Macaca fascicularis: one gene and its partner. The main gene of each other region encodes a partner of the protein of the gene in region 2 in a complex. Links are inferred from orthologs where the notes say so. Each region holds a gene or a part of one and is shown on either strand. Other genes may lie near its edges.

The links. The genes of interacting proteins can lie anywhere in the genome.
Region 1: POLR3C (region 2) and POLR3G share a complex: the UniProt entries of both Homo sapiens proteins name them as parts of the RNA polymerase III complex. The link is inferred for Macaca fascicularis from reciprocal best matches to the Homo sapiens genes POLR3C and POLR3G.

Annotation. Positions count from the first base shown.
Region 1 is NC_088380.1:94,508,330-94,511,829, reverse strand, and holds part of POLR3G (DNA-directed RNA polymerase III subunit RPC7), read right to left. Parts: intron 709-3,500; coding exon 562-708; intron 1-561. UniProt on the Homo sapiens protein: DNA-dependent RNA polymerase catalyzes the transcription of DNA into RNA using the four ribonucleoside triphosphates as substrates.
Region 2 is NC_088375.1:113,582,553-113,586,052, forward strand, and holds part of POLR3C (DNA-directed RNA polymerase III subunit RPC3), read right to left. Parts: intron 339-3,500; coding exon 234-338; intron 109-233; coding exon 16-108; intron 1-15. UniProt on the Homo sapiens protein: DNA-dependent RNA polymerase catalyzes the transcription of DNA into RNA using the four ribonucleoside triphosphates as substrates.

The DNA.
Region 1 (3,500 bases), on a different chromosome or scaffold from region 2:
TGAGGCTGTGGTCTGCAAAGTTACCCTGCTAAAAATACCTGATTGACTCAAGCTACTTCTGAAATGTACTATGTGCATTTCATTCTAAAAGTTAGGCATCCCAAATCGAAAACACAGGGTCCTGACTCAGCCAGATACCTGAGGTTAAATTATCAATCTTCTCTGATAGTGTCCACACGCACTTTGGAATTTGAAACACACTGCAGGGATTCTCCTCTAGACCTATGTGGTTAAGCCCTCCGTTACGTGAATTGCTGACTTAAATTTTTATGTTGTTAAATCTTAACTGCACTAATCTGATCAATCTCCTTAACTTGCAGATTTATACTTACAAAGCTGCCAATCAAGTTATTTTTATCTCCTATATTCAATTTGACATCATTATAATTTCAATGCTATAATAGTTCTCTCGATAGCAAGGAATTGATGCCATTGATAATAATATACTTCTGGTTCCCATCATCTTGGTTTCTGTTTGTTGATTTTAGTACATACTATATATATGATTCCTTATTAGATAAACCTTATTTATTTTGCTGCCATCCCCAAATGAACCATTACCTCTTCTTGCTCTTCTTCATCATATTCCTCCTGTTCTGCAGCATCATCGTCATCGTCATCATCACCTTCTTTACTTTTCTCTTTGCTGCCTTCTTTATCTTCATTTTCCTCATCTGATTTTTCACCATCATCTCTTTTTTCCAATTCCTGGTATAAGCATGTTTCATTAATTTGTATGGAAACCACTAGACTGCTGACTTCCCTGCTTAGCCTTAAGGGAACAGTTATCTATCACCTTATTCTAATCCCATCTTAACACCACCTCCAGGTCACCACTAAGAAACTATCAGTCAACTCAAGAAAGAAGGAATTTACTATCTCACCATGAAACCAGCATTTTCTTTGATTTTGTTACTTAATAATTGGGTTTCAGATTAATACTGGGCTTATCAGCTCTAATGCACAATGCTTAATTTCCCTACCTTCTCTTTTCTTTTGAGAGAAAGTCTCGCTCTGTCACCCAGGCTGGAGTGCAGTGGCACGATCTCGGCTCACCGCAGCCTCCTCCTCCTGGGTTCAAGTGATTCTCCTGCTTCAGCTTCCTGAGTAGCTGGGACTACAGGCGCACACCACCAAGCCTGGCTAATTTTTTAGTAGAGACAGGGTTTCTCCACGTTGGCCATGCTGGTCTCGAACTCCTGGTCTCAAGAGATCTGCCCACCTTAGCCTCCCAAAGTGCTGGGATTATAGGCATGAGCCACAGTGCCTCGCGGTCTACCCTACCTCCTTCTAAAATATTTGAGGTGACTTAGTTTATGGAGAACTTTTAGAATGTTATTTTGTTTTCCTTCTAACATAAAAGGAAACAAAATAAGGTAATAGTATTATTTCAAAATGTCTATGTTTCACTTTATACAGGAGACCATTTAACACTATTATTATAATAGCAAGTCATCCTGGGCTAGATTATCCTAGTTGCATTTTATCTGTGTCTTTATCTCTTTTCTCTCTCATTATTTACTTCCGGTTGCCAGGAATTCTTGTTTCTTAATATATCTGGCAGATGGAGAAGAAAGAGAGAAATTAAAACTCAAATCACAGTCAATACCAGCAATTATCAGAAATTCTAAAAGAGAAGACAAAAGAGAGATGCAGTTTGGAAAGCTTTGATTCCATGAGAGTTCCACTTATCCACAAGTGGAACCATCAGGGAATAGTACACAAAATTAACTTTAAAATTACATCTTTGTATTTTTATTAGGACTACCAACAATTTTTTTCATTTAATAAAAAGTGACCTATATTCATTACTGTCATTATCTGTTCACTAAATTGTACTATGCTCAATTTGCACATATGAGAGAATTTCACAAGTTTTCCAGGAGTCAATAATTTCACATATTAATACTCATAATTAAGGCATAAATCACCTCAGCTAAAATGTGATTAGTCCCCTAAACAGAAATTGGAATATTAATGCATGAATCTGCAAACACTCCATCTCTATTATAAAGTATTTGCTTTGTAGATTACATAGAGAGAGAAAACAGGTTTTATATCTGGAGTAACTACAACTTGGCTATTCCTTTATTGGTTCTTAAATGCGTATCTTTAAAAATTGTAATTAATTCAAATTTGAATTTAAGGAAACCAAAGACAATAGAGAGACTACATTAGATAGGCTCAATTTCTAATCAAAATTCAAACTCTACCTTTCCTGTCTGCTTAACCCACTCAGGCAGAACAAATAACACCAAGGTAATAGACATAAGATGATTTATCTTGATACTGACTCATATGTTGTCTTATATGAGTTATTACTACAATATAATATGTGCAATTTTTCCAAATGGAAATCCTTTTGGAAAAGTGCAAGTAAAGCGTGCTTATGGATCTTTTGCAGCATCTATAATAAGACAGACACACATATATGATGCTATGTTAATATTATAACTTTTTTTTATATTTTAATCAGATCACAGTAAAAAGACCTGCAACCAATAAGTTTGTGTAGTTAATAGGAAACTGTAGTGCCATATTTATTTAGCTCTGTGCAGGGTACACACTATGTCTAAAAAATCATGCTATTATTTTATAATTAAGAACATAGTTATTTAAACCAGTTATGTAAAAGTACGTTTTTTTTTTTTTTTGGAGGAGGAGTCTTGCTCTCTCACCCAGGCTGGAGGGCAGTGGCACGATCTCGACTCACTGCAAGCTCCACCTCCCAGGTTCACATCATTCTCCTGCCTCAGTCTCCCGAGTAGCTGGGACTACAAGTGCCGGCTACCACGCCCGGCTAATTTTTTTGTATTTATAGTAGAGACGGGGTTCCACTGTGTTAGTCAGGACAGTCTCGATCTCCTGACTTCGTGATCAACCTGCCTCAGCCTCCCAAAGAGCTGGGATTACAGGCATGAGCCACCACGCCTGGCCAAAAGTACTTTTTAAATTCATTGCCACATAGGAACTAGGAAGTCTATATTTCTATTATTGCTATCTCAAATATCTTTAAAAAAAATTCTCATCTTTATTTCCACCATAGAGATCTAAATCAGACTCATAAAATAGGTTAAAAATAGCAGATTTATACAACTTTTTAATAAAAACTGATCTCAAAGTCACATACATTGTCTCACTGCTTCATTCCTTTTGCATTAAGCTACTAGTTTCAGCTCTTCTACTTACTAGTCTCCATTTTCTCTCCTGTTGAGATTTAACCATCTAACCTTACTACTTTACAGATTTAAGAATAAAATGAATAATATAAAGACACTGAAAACAGTGTTCAATTATAGACAGAGAGCAGTTCTTCTGGTTTAAATATTATACAGCCTTACAGCCACCATACAGAGCCTCCTGTTATGCAGAAAAAAGAAATCTCAGATATTAGTTTACCACTAAATACTCACAGATTAATCATGAGATTTGAATGTATGTCACTCCCTATCCATCCATTAATATACTATTATAAAAAAATTTGGAACTGTTTTTGCTGA
Region 2 (3,500 bases):
GAACACGAAACTCACCTCATTGGAAGACAATGGCTGGGTGAAGGGAGCACTAGAGGAAGTGGTAATCTCACTCATTCGGAGCATGGTTCGCACAATCTCGCTGCTCGTCTGTTTGAAAAGTAAACTAGAATTCAGAAATCACAGTGCTGCCCCCGGCTCTCTGTGCCAATGGCCAGATATGACAAATAAGTAAATGTCCCTGATGACCAATGACAGACCCACTTAGGTATTACCTGGTCCATCCTGTTAGCAACTGCACTCACAATGGCTTGATCACGGAAGTGTTGGTGGAATCTGTCAAGGTTGGCCTGCCAATAAATCCCGTCATCTGGAATGGGCTGAGGAAGAGAAAAGATTTAGAGAGAAACATTTAGATATAATGTAAAGTTTTCTGGTGAGGAGCTTGGATTTAATGGTTCACCATTTCTTTTCCTACACAGTAACAACTAAATTGGTTGGAGAAAAATCATTCAGTCATGTAGATTGGTGTCTAGACAAATCCCAACTTCAAACAGGTTCTCTAAGCTCATCTCCAATCTTTCTCTCCCTATTTTATTATTTTACTTTTTTTTTTGAGATGGAGTTTTGCTCTTGACACCCAGACTGGAGTACAGTGGCATGATCTCGGCTCACTGGAACCTCTGCCTCTCGGGTTCAAGAGATTCTCCTGCCTCAGCCTACCGAGTAGCTGGGATTACAGGCAACCACCACTGAGCTAGGCTAATTTTTCTATTTTTAGTAGAGTTTGAGTTTTACAGTGTTGGCTAGGCTGGTGCTGGGATTACAGGCGTGAGCCACCATGACCGCCCTTTCTCTCCCTATTTTAACTCTTCTCCATTACCCTCAAGTCTCCAACCTGACCCTTCTTCCTTCTCACTCTTGGCAGATGACTTTGCCTCTGATTTCACAGAGAAAATAGAAGCCACTAAGCCAGAACTTACTCAGCTCTGTGCACATCCTCACCACATTTCTTTCTTTTTTGTTCTTAACTCATATTTTCACTCACTTTTATCACAGCTGAAAAATGTTCCTTTTACCTAAGGTTAATGCCCATATTGGTATTCCAGATCTTACTCTCTCATTCATTCTTGGGGATCCAGCTCTATTTTACCCTGTCCTCTAACATCTTCAGCCTTTCCTTCTCTACCGCCTTCTTATCAGCCTTTACCCTGTCCAAGTCTCTTTTACTCTAGAATTCTCCTTCAACCCTATGCCTTCTCTTCTTTTCCTTACTGTCACAGCCAAGCTTCTCAAACAGTTGGCCATCCCAGCTGTTATCTCTATCTAGATTTACTTAACCCGTTTCCACCATTGTACTGAAATGTCAATTGTCACTTGCATTCCAGTGAAATTCCACAATTGTCCCTGAGGACTCTATGTTGTTAAGTTCAAATAATACTTTCCACTTCTGATCTTATTTAACCTTTTGGAAGCATATGACATGGTTGGACATTTTTTCCTTCTTAAAACTTTATGTGGCTCCTTGGATTTTATGACACCATTTTTTTTTTTTCTTTTTAAAGACAGGGTCTTTGTCACCCAGGCTGGAGAGCAGTGGTGTGATCGTAGCTCACTGCAGCCTTGACCTCCTTGGGCTCAGGTGATCCTCTCACCTCAGCCTCCCAAGTAGCTGGGACCACAGGTGTGTGCCACCACGCTTGGGTAATTTTTGTATTTTTTGTAGAGACAGGGTCTCACCATGTTGCTCAGGATGGTCTCAAACTCCTAGGCTCAAGTGATCCGCCAGCCTTGCCCTTCCAAAGTGTTAGGATTACAGGTGTGAGCCACTGGGTCTGGCTGACACTATTTTTTCTTGGTGCTACTTTGAACCTTTCTGGCCACCTTTCCTCAGTCTCCACCGATTCCTCTTTCAGATCCCACCTATAATACTGGTGTTTTGTCAGGGTTCTATCCATACCTTTCCTTTCTTTTTATTCTACATGCTCTACTTGGGTAATTTTATCTGCTCTCCAGGTTTCAACTATTGGTGCATTTCCAAATATGTCACTCTATCCTAGAACCCTCTCTCTCTTTTTTTGAGACGGAGTTTTGCTCTTTTGCCCAGGCTGGAGTGAAGTGGCACAACCTCGGCTCACTGCAACCTCCACCCTCTAGGTTCAAGCGATTCTCCTGCCTCAGCTTCCTGAGTAGCTGGGATTACAAGCCTGTGCCACCATGCCTGGCTAGTTTTTATATTTTTAGTAGAGATGGGGTTTCGCCATGTTGGCTAGGCTGGTCTCGAATTCCTCACCTCAGGTGATCACCCGCCTCGGCCTCCCAAAGTGCTAGGATTACAGGCATGAGCCACCGCACCCGGCCTATCCTAGAACCCTCTATTAGGCTTCAGATGCATAGACTCAGCTGCCTATTTGACACTTTCACTTGTTCTCCAAACTGTTCTGTTTTGTAAGTTTTCAGGTAACTGCACTATAACCATCCCAGTTTTTTTTTTTTGAGACAGGGTCTTGCTCTGTTGCCCAAGCTGTAGTGCAATGGCACAATTGTGGCTCACTGCAGCCTTGACTTCCTGGGCTCAAGTGATCCTCCCACCTCAGCCCCTCAGTAGCTGGGACTACAAGCATGTGCCATCAGGTCTGGTGGATTTTTTTTTTTTTTGGTAGAGATAGGGTCTATGTTGTCCAGGCTGGTCTCAAACTCCTGGGCTCAAGTGATTCTTCTGCGTCAGCCTCCCAAAATGCTGGGATTACGGGCGAGAGCCACTGTGCCTAGACAACCCAATTTCTTTCTTTCTCTCTTTTTTTTTTTTGGAGATAGAGTCTCGCTCTGTCACCCAGGATGGAGTTCAGTGGTGCAATCTCGGTTCACTGCAACCTCTGCCTTCCAGGTTCAGGCCATTATCCTGCCGCAGCCTCCCAAGTAGCTGTGATTGCAGGCACCCACCACCATGGCCGGCTAATTTTTGTATTTTTAGTAGAGACGGGGTTTCACCATGTTGACCAGGCTGGTCTTGAACTCTGACCTCAGGTGATCCACCTGCCTCGGCCTCCCAAAGTGCTGGGATTACAGACGTGAGTCACCGTGCTTGGCCGGCCAACCCAATTTCTTAAGCTACAAACTTGGGTATCACCCCTAGTCCCTTGCTGTCCATAATCTACCACATTACCAAGTTCTATCTACTCTTCATAGTTATCAGATGTCTACTTTTCTCTCTCCTATCATTACCTTATTTCAGACTCTAAATCTTGGCCCATCTGGATTACTACAATAACCTCCTAACTGGTTTTTCTTTTTTCTTGTTTTTTTCCCCTTTAAAACATAGCAGACACTATAAAAGGAATAACTGGGTTTTCTCCTTCTAATTTTGTTTTGCATCATTCTTCCCATTTCTTTTTTTTTTTTTTAAACTGTTTTGGGTCACAGTTCCTTTGAAGAATGTAATGAAAGGTATGGAGAGCTTCACTGAAAAATGCACATAAGTACAAGCAGACTCTCTGAAATCCATCCATGGAGTAGTACAGGTTAGGAACTGCTATGCTATA